2 linked regions of the Cricetulus griseus genome follow. The protein of the gene in region 2 purifies or fractionates together with the protein of the main gene of each other region. This does not show direct contact. Links are inferred from orthologs where the notes say so. Each region holds a gene or a part of one and is shown on either strand. Other genes may lie near its edges.

Region 1 (6,926 bases), on a different chromosome or scaffold from region 2:
ATCCACCCTGTGCACTATGGCATAATGTGAGTGAGGGACACACACACAATGCAGTAATAATTTGAAAAAGCATCTACGCAGGAGCCAATGAAATGGCTCAGCTGCTAAAGGCCCTTGCTGCCAAGTCTGAGGACCCAAGTTTAATCCTCAGATTCCCCACATGATGGAAAGAGAGAACTGACTCTCCCAAGCTGTCCTCTGACAACCCCCAACACATACTATTTCATACCTTCCTCATCATAATAAATAAATGTGGCTGGGCAGGGTGGTACACATCTTTAATCCCAGCACTGGGGAGGCAGAGGCAGGCTGATCTCTGTGAGCTGAAGGTCAGCCAGGTCTACAGAGTGAGTTCCAGGACAGCAAGGGCTGTTACACAGAGAAACCCTGTCTGGAAAAACTGAAACAAACAAATAAATGTGAAAGAGAGAGTCAGTGTGCAAACTGGATTTGGGGGTGCAAACCTACAACCCCAGCACACAGGAGAGAGGGTCAGGAGGATGAAGGAGAACCACAAGTTGAAGGCCAGTATAGCTACACAATAAGCCCGTGTCAATCAAATTTATCAAACTCAAGTCTTCAAGCTTGAAACTTCTGGTAGCAAGTGCTTTTTACCCACTGGGCCATCTGTCTGCTTCCAAGATATTTAAATCTATTCAGTATAATCTGCTGAATTGAGTCAAAAGACTCTAGTTGTGGGCAATCACTTCTTTGGCCTATGCCAAAGTTTCCTTATTATAACACAAAGAAGTGAGACTGCTCTGACATGCCACTAATGTTAAAAAAGAAAGATTTACACAACAAACTAAAAGTTGTACATTCACTATAGGAAGCATAAGATTTTCTAAGGATCTAAACTGTTACCACACTTCAAAATTTTAAAACTTTTTTTTCCAGAGTAATCTGGACTGATTCTCTTTAGGTAGCTGACCCAACACCATACCATCTCTTTCCCTTTATCCACCTTGGGACGTTGAGACACCTCTTTTAACACACTCAGTGAAGGCCTAGTGGTACACTGCCACCTGTATTCCTGGCACTCAGAAGCCTGATGCAGGAGAACTTTGAGTTTGAGGCCACCTGGCTACACAGTGACACATTGTATTTTTGGTTTTGATTTTTAAAGAATGCACTAAAGAGAAACATTTCAACTCTAAAAGCATTCCTCTTCAAAATCCCCCTCAATTACTTCTACTCTTCCTCCTAATTCCATTTCCCTAAGGCAGTGGTCACATTTCATTCTCTCATACACTTTTCCTATCCCAACAGTAGGCCAAACCTGGAACACCTAACTGCTCCTGAAGCACACTCAGAAAGTGAAAGAAAAACAAACAAGGCCCCAGTCCATCCCAAGAATCATAATACTGAATCTTCAAAAGACAATAGACCCATAGACCGAAAACTCCACCAGTAACTAATGACAGTATTCACATAAAGCCACACTCCTCAGCAATTTACTCTCTAGCCCCACTGCCATATGGAACCAATATAACTCAACAGTGTATCATATTTATAATTAAAGTAATCCTGTATTTGTTTCAAATTTAGTATTCACCATGTTTGATTAAAAGGCTAAGTGAAATTCCACATTTAAAAAGTGTGTGTCTCAAAACCCACATTTGGAACTGTGTAATTCTGAGAGTCATTTGATTATGAAAAGAGTAATACTTTGTTGGCCCACTTAATTTCATAAAGTCCTTATTTCAATTTTTTGCCAGAAGGGCACAATTTATTTACTAAAGAAGGAAAACTGGGGGTGAGAAGGGAAAGAGCCCCTATGCAAATACAATAAATATCTAAGATCAGCCCTAAACCTATATTCTTGTTAAAGAAGATGGCTTTAAATCACCATGAGGTTATTACTGAGGACATCTGTCCTGAATTGGTTCATTAGTTTGACATCTCATTTTTTTTAAACCTTCGGTGTAATATGTGTATACTTCAATAAATATTACTTTAGAAAAGGTGATAGTCCATAAATAACAAACTACTAGGGCAGCAAAGGTAAAAACCAAGATATGCAGTAGGAAAAGCGATTCTAAATTTAAACTTCAGCAAGGAAAACCCTCACACCACTATTCACAAGTCTCTGTTCAAGCAATTTATTTTTGGCGAGACAAATCACAGCTGTCAACGATGTTTCTTCCCCCACCCTACAATTAAATAAATTATTCCGAAAAAAAAATAGAGACATCTTCAACTTGAGGGGCATTAACTTACACATGCCGTGTGTCATTATGAATGTTTTTTTTTCCTTTAAAATGTCACACGGAAGGGGGGTTAAAAATAAAAGGCAAACAAACAAACCCTGGAAGATGCAGCAGAGCCCCCTTGCTCCCGAAATAAAACTCCTGGTGGCTGTAACAGCAGCGGCAGTGCTACTCCCGACAGAAGTTTTCAGCTGTCACTTCTAACAGCTGAGCGCTTCCTAGGAGAGAAGCGACAGGCCGAGAAGAGAGGTGGTTGTGGGGATTCTGAAGATTCAAGACTTGCACTCTTAAAACACTCCAAAGGGAAACCCTTCCGCGCCTCGCCTCACAACTGCACTTAGGGGACACCCAGCAAGATCAGCGCCCCCACCCCCAGCACACGCTCGCGCCACCCGGGCCACATTCAGGACCACAGCTCCAGAAGCCGAACGCGCGCCTCGGCTCCTCAGCGTTCCACAAACCCATCGCTCCGGGCTGCGCTGCTCTGGGGATGAGGGCGAGACCTGCACCTGCGCGCCCCGCAGAGGCCTCACACCTAGGGCCAGGTCCGCCCCGCCCGCTCCCCCGCTCGGCCGCGCCGCGCCTCAGCTCCTCCCGGAGACCGCCTGCGTCCCCCCGGGCCTCCGCGCCCCAGGACACACCAGGCTCCCTGAGCCCACGCCGCCACCCCGGCCCTGTCACCTCGTCCCCCCCACCCCATCCCCCGGGACCCCGGGCCTCACCCCCTCCTCCAGCTCATCCTCAGAGCCTGCGTCCTCTGGCTGGTCCAGGTCTATGTCAAACACTCCTGCCATGTCCTCAGCTTCCCTGTCTCGGAAGTCAGGCGCTGGGTAAAAGCCGTCCCGCCTCCGTCGTCGCCTCATGGGCCCGGACCCGCCGCAGACTTCACTGCTGCTGCCGCCATCACCGGCTGCTTAAGCTCAATGCGTCTGCGCCTAGGCCCCAGACTGGCTGCTCAAGTTCAGCCCCGGAGCATGCGTACAAGGTTCCGTGAAGCCAACAGTGGGCAGCGGACATGCGTAGCACTAGCTCCCGGCGCCAGGTACTGGCAGGAACATGCGCAGAATACCAACCGAAGCCAAGCCGGGAAAGTAGAGCATGCGCGTCACTGTCTAAGGCGTTTTCCTGGACACTGAGCATGCGTACCATATCTGAAGTTGATAAATTAAATTTGAACATGCGTGATTAACCTTTCTAAATAGAAGAGGAGGAAAGGGAAGAGGTGAGGAAAAAAAAAAACTTCAACGAGGTCTCCGTCTAAGGAGCATGCGCATTCGTTCGTTGTCCGTAGTTTTTAAAAGAAGTATTGAAAGTGAGCATGCGCATAATGAGAGGGTTTGTCTGAAGTTTGAACCGAACTGCAACTGCGGGTCGGAGAGCTGTCAGTGAGTGTGGGGCTAACGGGGAGCCGATAGGGCAGAAGGGCCAAGAGAAGAGTCTTGGCCTTGCTGTTTGCTAATTCAGTGGCTTTGGGAAGTTTCATAACCCTTCGGTAACTCAATTTCCTTATCTGTAAAATGAGAATAGTATTACCTACATTGCAGGCTTAGACGTTAAGTTGAAAATCTGGTTCGCTAGCTTCTGCTCATTTCCAGGGCTACACAGACTTGATGTGATGATGCATGTATCAAAATTCTCTTTTTAGCCCGCATGGTGGCCCACGCCTATAATCCCGGCTCTCAGGAGGTCGGAGGTAGAAGGATTACGTGTTTGAAGCCAGCTCAGACGAATAATAAAGATTTGTTTTAATACTTTATCTGGCCTTTCCCTGAGCTCCAACTTTGTTTTTCTTTCTTTTCTTTCTAAGAAAAGGGCCTTACTATGTAGCCCGGGCTGTCCTGGAACTTACTATGTAGACCTAGCTGGCCTTGAACTCATGGAGATCTGCCTGCCTGTGCTTCCCAAGTGCTGGGATTAAGGGCATGTGCCACCATGCCCCAGCCCTAACTTTGTTTTAATACTGGAACTAAGCATAAAACATTTCTTATTGATCTTTATTGTATTTACCTGGCCAGAAGCTGCTTAGTAGAAAAAGAATAAGTCATTTTCTTGAAAGACAGAAAATTAATGTTAGATGAATGTTCTGTTAATAAGCTAACTTCTGGTATCTATGTGACAAGAAGTGAATACGAAGAATTCCTTCAATTAGCTGGGTGGTGGTGGTGCCCCACCCTTTAGTCCCAGCATTAGGAAGGCAGAGGAAGGCAGATATTTGGGAGTTCGAGGCCAGCCTGGTCTACAGAGCGAGTGCCAGGTTAGGCTCCAAAGCTACACAGAGAAACCCTGTCTCAGAAAAAATAAATAAATAAATAAAGAATAAATTCACTCTTCGAGGTGGTGCAGTGGTGGCACATGCCTTTGATCTCAGCTCTCAGGTGGCAAAGGCAGGAGGAACTTTGTGCGTTTGAGGCCAGCCTCTGCCTCCTGAGTGCTAGAATTAAAGATACATGCTTACATGCCCAGACAAATAGTTACTTTTCATTAGTGTACATATATATTTTTTAAGGTTTTTTTTTTGGGGGGGGTGAGACATGGTTTCTCTGTGTAGCCCTGGCTGTCCTAGAACTCGCTCTGTAGACCAGGCTGGCCTCGAACTCAGAGATTCACCTACTTCTGCCTTCCAAATGCTGGAATTAAAGACAGCTGACTTACGTATTTATTGTGTACAGGGTTTTGCCTACACGTATGGCTTCAGGCCAGAAGGGGGCACCAGATCTCATTATAGATATGAACCACCATGTGGTTGCTGGGAATTGAATTCACGACCCCTGAAAGAGCAGCCAGAGCTCTCAACCTTTGAGCCGTCTCTCCAGCTTCATGTACAAATATGTTTAATTTTCTAAAAATTTTATTTATTTTTATGTTGTATGTAAATACCAGCACATCTGTATGTGCACCGTGTGCATGCAATGCCTGGGAAGGCCAGCAGAGGGCATTGGATCCCCTAGAACTGGAATTAGTGGCAGCAGTGAGGAGACCCAAACGTCTTCTGAAAGAAGAGCAAGTGCTTTAACCATTGAGCCATCTCTCCAACACTTTTCGTCTACATAATGAACACATGGCATATTGTTTGCTCTTATTAGTAATGTGGTGGTTTCTCATGTCTGTGTCTTTTTTTATAGGTCATCCATTCCCTTGTGTTTTAGACTAGGCCTAGCTTGTGGCTTGGCATGTCAATAGTAACAGTGCAACTTGGGCAGTGTGGCAACCAGATTGGCTTTGAAGTGTTTGATGCTTTATTTAGGGACACTCAATGTTCCCCTGGACTCTGCTCTAAGAGAGAAAATGAGGCTTATCAAGCATCTTGCAAAGAAAGATTTTTCAGAGAGGAAGAAAATGGAGGTAGGTGTGGTCAACAATCCTCTCCTTACTTTCATGTGAATGTCTTCAAAGTGTTTAGCTCATCCCTTCCATTGCACTAGGGAGGGCCTTTGCTTTTCTTTCCCTACCCCATGCTGGGGTTTAGTCTTATCTCCAACCCATGAATTAAAACAAAAACATAAAAAACTGAATCTAGGGCTGGCAATATGGTTCAGGGACTTAGAAGTTTATGCTCGCTCTGTGGTACTGACATAAAATGTATTATTTGTTTTTCTTTTCCTTACTCTAGTTCCAGTTGCCCGGGCTGTTCTTGTTGACATGGAACCTAAAGTTATCAATCAAACGCTATCAAAAGCTGGCCAGTCTGGCCGATGGAAATACGGTCAGCATGCATGCTTTTGTCAGAGACAAGGGTCTGGGAACAACTGGGCATATGGGTAAGAACAACTCCTCATGACTTTCAGTGAATTTAAAGCTATACAGTTAAGTATTCATACCGTGATAGTTGTATAGTTGACACAACAAGCTCAAAATCTTGGAAGTGCTCTGTTAAAATTTAGAATTTGGGGTCTGGTGTGGTGGCACAGTCTTTCATGCCAGCACTGAAGAGGTAGAGGCAGGCAGAACTCTGTGAATTCAGGCCAGCCTAGTCTACGTAGTGAGTTCCAGGCTGTCTTACTCAGTGTTTTGTTGCTGTGAAGAGGCACCCTGACCAAAGCAACTCTTATAAAAGAAAGCATTTAATTGGGCTGGCTTACAGTTTCAGAGGTTTAGTTGACTTTCATCATAGTGGGGAGCATGAGAGCAAGCAGGCAGATAGGGTGCTGAAGAAGTAGCTGAGAGATCTACATCTGAGTCCATAGGTAGCAGGAAGATAGAGACACAGGGCCTTGCTGGGGCTTTTGAAATCCCAAAGCCCACCTACAGACACACTTCCTCCAACAAGGCCACACCTCCTAATCCTTCTCAAACAGTGCTGCTCCCTGATGACCAGTCATTCAAATCTATGAGCCTATGGAGGCCATTCTTATTCAAACCACCACACAGGCCATCCAAAGCTACTTAGTCAAATCTTGCCTCAAAGAAAACTAAAATAAAATTAAGAATTTGGGCCACGGAGATGACTCAGGGTAGAGCCAAACCTTATGAACTCAGTTCAGTTCCCAGAACCCATATAGTATAAAGAGAGACCTGACTCCTAATGTCCACATATGTGCATGCCCTCCCGAAAATATGAAATAAAAAATTACAATTTAGAATGTGTCAGGCTTGGTGATGCAAGCCTATAATCCGAACTACTCTGAAAGCAGAGACAAGAGAATCTCAAGGTCAGTGTCTGCCAGAGCTATAGAGTAAGTTCAAGGTCATCCTGGGCAATTTAGCAAACCCCTGTCT
Region 2 (6,794 bases):
TGACTTATCCAGATTCATGTATTGGAAAATACATGTAATTCTGAAAAAAAAGGGGGGAGGCATTTGGGAACAGCTTTTGGCAATGCTATAATTTCCCTATTAGACAGCAAATGACTTCATGTGTGAAATCTAGAAACGAAGATGCTGTGGAAATAGTGTGGAACATGAAGCACACTGTCAACACTACAAACTGATTAAAGTTACAAAACAGTAACATGAATCACTGGAAGCAGGTAAGGGTGGGTGGGTTTTCGAGACTCAGGAGCCGATCAAATCTTTTCTATATTTGGGACACACACACATACCTTCATCTAAATAGGAGTCTGCCAGACTCCCTCCTAGCTTCTTGATGACATGGATGGCCTCCAGATTACCAGAGCCCTTCAGTCTGAGAACAGCTTCTACAGCTAACTCCGTAAAGTGGTCCTTATGATGAGTAAGGAGTTTTGAGGATAATGTCGTTCCTGCAATGTTCATTAAATCTTGCCGGAATTTGACTTCATCGTAACTAAAACCAATCAAATGAAAAGAAAACCCTTCTGTTATTAAAATTATTCCAATATATTAAGTATACTTTAATTTCCAAATTTTACCTAAGTACTAGACTCTAACCAGGCCTCTAATATCACCAAAATCAAGAAACATGTAAACAATGGGATACTGTCTTTCCAATCAAACCGCCAAACTGGGTGAGGGATATGCAAGCAAGACCATCAAATGTTGTCAAGAATGTGGGGAAACATCCATTCGTGACACACTTGGCACTAACAGAAATCATTGCTGGAGATTTGGTAATATACATAAAAGTAAATTAAAATACGTTAGACTCAGCAATTCCACTTCTAGAAATATTCCTTGGGTAACAATTTCCCACATTATTACAGAGCTAAAACTTTCCAAAAATACAATTCTTCAAGGGCAGACAGTTTAAGAAAACTTTATCAGTCATATACTGAAGCACCTAACAACTGATGTTGCACAGAACGTATCAACACCCAGAAACACAGGGGTTGCCTACCAAGGTTAAACAGAGATTAATAAACCAGGCATGGAAACACACCTATAGTTCCAGCACTCTGGAGGCAGAGGCATGTGGGTCTCTGTTTAGAGCACAGGAGGCCGGGGTGAAGAATCAGTTTCTATGCTAGCTAGCTGAGATTAGGAAGGCTATCCCTGGAGGTGACATGTAGATAGGATAAGGCAGCAAGACCATGCTCATGCATGTTTCTCATCGTCCTCTAGATCAGACTTTCCCAACAGAATCTTGGTATACCAACCCGTGATCAACAGCAGAGGTCAACAGCGCCTCTCTTGCTGCCTTGGTGGCTTCTCTCCAACCTGCAATGATGGTCTGTGGATGTATCTTTTTTGCAATTAAAGATTCTGCTTCCTGTCAATAAAAAAGTACACATATAAAAGTAATAAAGGGTTGGATTACTTCTACCGCTCAAAATCATTCACAATAATAAGGTGCAAGTGTTGAGTTCTTACCCGGAGTAGTTCTGCTGCCAAAACAGTAACAGAGGTAGTGCCATCACCAACTTCATCATCTTGAACCCTTGACATATCTAGGAAAAACAAAATTATTTCTCCACATTCCTAAATCCTTTTAAAACATCCACGAAAAAGCTAAACCCCACTTATAGTAGGTTCCATACCTGACAAAGTTTGTGAGAACTTTAAGTTCTAAATACAGTCCGTATCTTGAATGTGCCCTCCCAAATTCATGGAAGCTTAATCCCTCATCTTTTTCTGTCTCATCCATGTTATGACACAGCAAAAGGAACCTCACTGACTGGGCCCACTGGTCTTGGACTTCACAGTTCAGCCAGACAGACTTGTATCATTTAAAAACTACCTAGTTTGTGGTTGCAGCAGCCCCAAATGGATAATAATGATACTTCTGAAATTCATTTCAACAATGGCTAATGACGGCTATCATTTAAATAGTTGTAAAATTATTAACAAATAGATATGCAGACTCACCAACTAAAACTTTAGCTGCTGGGTTGTCAACACCAATGTTTTTTAGAATGGTGGCACCATCATTGGTTACCATTAGAGAGGCATCTCGTCCACTGCTTAGAAGAATTTTGTCCTTAAGAGAAATTGGTTTGTGTCAAATTGAGGAGTAAGTACTTCTTGAAGAAACCTGGAGTCAGTAACTGCACTCAGCTTTCCATTGCTGACACACCAACACTCTGGGTGGTTACCTGACCACCAAACATTTCAATGCATGTATCCGACAACCAACCCTCAAAAACTTGGAGGTACAGGTAACACAAACTAGCTCTGCTACAGCACCATGACAGACAACAATGGAAGCAAATGTCCATGAACAAAGTTAAAAGCAAACCCCAGAATACTGTATTGTGGTTAAAGAAAAATAACGTATTTTTAAAAATCATCACAATGGAACCCTCCTTATGCTAGTTAAAAGATCAATTTAAAAAAATTGGTAAAAATCCACAAGAGGGAGTTCAACAAAAACAGAGTGCTGAAGACAGGGTCAAAGAAAGCAGTGGGAGGCACTGAAGGAGGAGGTATCAGGGAAGTTGAAAGTTTGCTGGGTGACCTTGACCCAAGTCAGGGCTTGGCCATGTGTGCCAGAGAGGAGATGGCTTGGGTTTAGTTATGTCTTGAAATTGGAAGTGTGGGGTTTGTTCAGAGTGTTTATGATATCGAAGGACATATGGACAGTTAATGACTTTAGTGGAATGAAGCAGTAGTAGGCATTTGGCAATCATTTGGGCAGAGGAAACATAGGCGTCTGAGAAGAGATGAGATTTGTGTGGAACAGGTGATCATGAGAGAACAGGAGCCTAAGGGTGAGGATGAGTTATTAACAATGGAGGGGTCAGACAGGAAGGAGCTGGAGGACCCTCTTGTGTATGAGAAGGATGGGGAAAGAGGTCTTGGAGAGTTTTTTGACAGGAGTGTAGAGGATCTGGGGCAGAAAGGAGAATGCTAAGGAAAAGGGTAAGTATGGAGGGATTGAGGGAATGACGGGTAAGGAATGTCAGTGATGAGTTTTTGATAAAGAGAAATTTGGAGATAAAATCTGAGGCGATGGAAGTGACAGTAGAGTCCTTTGTAAGTTAGGAGTTGAGGGGAATAGTGGTGGGAACAGATGGTAAGAGGGGATCAATAGATTGTGAGAGCAGATCCCGGAGCTTGTAAGATTTAGTGATGAGCAGAAGGGCTGTGAAAGAGGGCATTCTACAGAGTTCTAGAGAGGAGTAAGCAACAGGGGCAAAGGTCCTTCTTAGGAAGTGTCTATGTATTTTGGAAGTGTTAATGATGGAAAGGTTTGTACAAATCTGAGAGGCAGAGGGCTGGAGCAGAAGAGAGAACACTTTAAGAGATTGATTGTGGGTGGAAGGACAGTAAGGCTATAAAAATAATAAGCATGTCAAAAGAGGTAGCAAAACTGACAGAAGCTTAGAAGAGGACACCAAAAAACCAAGTAGACACCAATAGCACATACACATAAAAGTGTTATCTTAGAAATGCATTATGAAAATCTATGATAAACTTAAAAATACTACCAGGTTTTGCATATAAATGGTAACACTTGCTGCCAGTGGAGAGTAATGTTCGATTGGGGATGGGGATACAGGAGGATAATTTTTTATAATTTAATGTTTTAGCTTGCAAAACATAATTTTTCTTACCATGCCCTTGGGCCCCAAAGTGCTCTTCACCAAGTCTCCAATGGCGATGGCACCAATAAAGGATGACTTAAATTAAAAGAGAAAAAAAGAAATCAGAAAAGGCGGTCAAAACTTACCAGAAGAGAGAAAAGTACAATCTTGTCATTTAAAAGAGGCGGAATGAACGGGCTTACCAGGCGAGCTGTTTCGGCTCTCTCTTCATCAGCTCCAGCCTTGAAGATATTCACAGGTGCCAGGGAAAGGGACGCCTAAAGAAAGGGAAACCAAGATACTCCGTTTGAATGCCAGTACTCTTGAAATTAACACATGTCGGGAGTCCGTCATGGGAGTGGGAGTTTATTTAAATGGCGAGAGGGACTTACTGGTGGGCGCCAGGAACCAATCAACCGGCTGGTATGTAGGGCTAAACTAAAGGCAACACTAAGGGGGAGGCAAGCGGCGTCGGAGGCACAGTGGTCCCAACCACCAGGGACCCTCCATCTTCCACAGGCCTGCACAGCCACCCGCCCGTCAGGCCCCGCCCCGAGGAGGGCGGGGCTGACAAGAGTACTAGAAACTTCTTCGTTTGGGGTGAGTCCCGGGGGTCATCGGGGTCCCCTAACCACGAAGATAGTTGATCTGAGACAGAGATGCTGGCTTGGGGTGCACTCTCCCTTCGCGCCCCCCGTAGAGAGTTCGGTCTGCGGATCCCACGCAGGCCTCACGCCCGGCCATGTGCGACCGGCCGGCCCGGGAGACGGCCTCAGGGGGCCTGTGTCTCCCGTTAGATAAAAGAGAGCGGCGGGGAAGCGGGACACAGCGGCACCCGGGCAGGAGCGGAGGTCGTGGCCCGAAAGCTAAGCTCACCATGGTTCCGACGAACTCAGCGCAGAGGATAATCCCTCACAAGCCGCGCCGGGAAGACGGCAGGGGAAAGGAAGGCGGAAGTGACGACACACTCTACCGAGGGGGGCGGAACCGACCGCGCAGGTTTCCGCCCGTGCGACCGCCTCCCTCCTGCGTAGTGGGCTGTGCCGGAAGCGTAGCCTCTGGAGGCCGGGGGTGGGGGGTGGGGGGACTGGACTCGCGCCACGCCCAGTGGCGGAAGTCACTGCAGATGGGGGAGGGGCTAAGGGCGGGCCCATTTAGAGTAGAACTCCAGAACAAAGAGACACAGAAACTGAGTTCCTGCTTACATGTATTTTTAAGGTCAGATGTACAGTTTCAAGTGTTGTACGCTAATCATTTCCCTCACTAACTCTCCCTGGAAGCAAACACTCAAGTTTTCATCTTTTTTTCCCTTTGTGGGGATTATTTACCTGCGTGGAGACTACTTCTCTTTCTGGGGCATAAAGCCCATGTTACACAGAATTCCCCTAGCTGGCCTTTTGTTTGTTTTTGTTTGTTTGTTTTGTTTGTTTTTTTGGCTTTTTGGAGAGCGGTCCAGAAAACTTAGTAGGGAACTAACCTGCTCCTTAGTTAGAAGCATAGCCTTGGAAAAGGCTGCTCTGGTTGACAGAGCTTTCTGAGGCTTTGTGACGAGTCTGCCGATAAAACGCTTTCTGTTCCCAGTGTCCGGATGACTCACAGCTGCTTTTCTAATCAGCGGGCCCGGGGGTGCTTGCCTCATGCCACACTTCAGGTGTTTGTCATCGGTTGCCACATTTGAGGCAGGAGTGGCTCCGGCAGTGGCTCGGGCAGCCTGGGGTAGCAAGCTGCTGCTGGGGTGTCCATAGTCTGACAATCTCCTTGTTCAGTTCTCTCTCTCTCTCTCTCTCTCTCTCTCTCTCTCACACACACACACACACACACACACACACACACACACACACACACACACACACGTACGTACGTTTTTTTCTTTTAAGTTCTACCAAAAATTGGGTTTTCCACCCTTCTAGTTATAATCATTGCTGGCTGGTGTAGCATACTGGTCAAAGGGATGCTCTCGGGAGCTGACTTCCTGTTTTGTTTTTGTTTTTTGTTTTGTTTTGTTTTTCAAGACGGGATTTCTCTGTGTTGTCTTGGAATTAGCTGTGTAAACCAGGCTAGTCTCAGAGATCTAACTGCCTCTGCCTCCTGAGTGCTGGGATTAAAAGTGTGTGCCACCACTATCTGGCACAAACTTCTTTTTAACAATTTAATACTGGCCGGGCTTTGGTGGCGTATGCCCTTAATCCCAGCACTAAGCACTCGGGAGGCAGAGGCAGGTGGACCTCTGTGAGTTCAAGGCCAGCCTGGTTTCCAGAGCGAGTGCCAGGATAGGCTCCAGAGAAACCCTGTCTCCAAAAAAAAAAAAAAAAAAAAAAAAAAAGAAGAAGAAGAAGAAGAAGAAGAGTTGACTATTGAATGAGATTTTAGTCTGTGTCATTTATCAGCTCCATTCTCCCAGGTCTCACCACCTCCAGAGTAGTAAGTGGGGTGGGAAATGTTGAGACAGGGTCGAACTCACAGAGATTCACCTGCCTCTGCTTCCCAGTGCAGGGATTAAAGGCGTGTGCCACCAACGCCCCGACTGAGACAGGGTCTCCTGTTGTTGTTGTTGTTTTTTTTTTTTTTGTTTGTTTGTTTGTTTGAAAACTTACCTATTTTTGTGGCATTGGGGATTGAACTCAGGGGCTTGGGTTGATGGATTATACAGCAGGAGTACAGTTGGCTTTCAGACGACCCACCCATCTCCCAAATTCTTCCACAGTGGCTTTACTGCATTGGCTTCCACGGCACATACACTAAAACTGGAATGATACAAAGATTGTTATGGCCCCTGTGTCCCTCCAACACTGAATGAAGCCTTCAGACATTCCCCAACACTTGATATTGTCACGTGTTAGATTTTTTAAAACTGTTTTTGCTATTTGCAGATTTTTGTTGTTGGTGGTGGTTTGGGTTTTTAGTGCTTGCAGTTGAACCCAAGACCTTTGTGCACGAGAGGCAAGTAGTCAACCACATAGCTGCTCTACCAGCCCTGCTTCCGATGGTCTGAGGTGGGTCACTAACATGTCTTGGTTTCCCTAGTTTGTGAAATGCAGAAGCAGCGGCACCTCTATCATTGGGTTGACCCGAGGAATAAAGTAATTCACAACCACACTGAACAGCTCCAGTTTACATGCCCCCGATAAACATTAGTATGGCATGGTTAGA

Evidence for each region. The genes of interacting proteins can lie anywhere in the genome.
Region 1: the proteins of Cct2 (region 2) and Tubd1 purify together in Homo sapiens (co-immunoprecipitation; 3 studies listed by BioGRID and IntAct, with this or other methods). This does not show direct contact. The link is inferred for Cricetulus griseus from reciprocal best matches to the Homo sapiens genes CCT2 and TUBD1.

What each region holds. Positions count from the first base shown.
Region 1 is NC_048600.1:99,790,263-99,797,188, forward strand, and holds the start of Tubd1 (tubulin delta chain), read left to right. Parts: upstream 1-3,288; 5' UTR 3,289-3,432; intron 3,433-3,446; exon of another isoform or gene 3,447-3,702; intron 3,703-5,332; 5' UTR 5,333-5,380; coding exon 5,381-5,552; intron 5,553-5,820; coding exon 5,821-5,968; intron 5,969-6,926. Other genes in the region: Rps6kb1 (ribosomal protein S6 kinase beta-1), read right to left, coding at 2,933-3,073. UniProt on the Homo sapiens protein: Acts as a positive regulator of hedgehog signaling and regulates ciliary function.
Region 2 is NW_023276806.1:139,272,563-139,279,356, forward strand, and holds the start of Cct2 (T-complex protein 1 subunit beta), read right to left. Parts: upstream 4,677-6,794; 5' UTR 4,524-4,676; coding exon 4,521-4,523; intron 3,923-4,520; coding exon 3,848-3,922; intron 3,741-3,847; coding exon 3,675-3,740; intron 2,099-3,674; coding exon 1,987-2,098; intron 1,569-1,986; coding exon 1,492-1,568; intron 1,391-1,491; coding exon 1,278-1,390; intron 509-1,277; coding exon 306-508; intron 1-305. UniProt on the Homo sapiens protein: Component of the chaperonin-containing T-complex (TRiC), a molecular chaperone complex that assists the folding of actin, tubulin and other proteins upon ATP hydrolysis.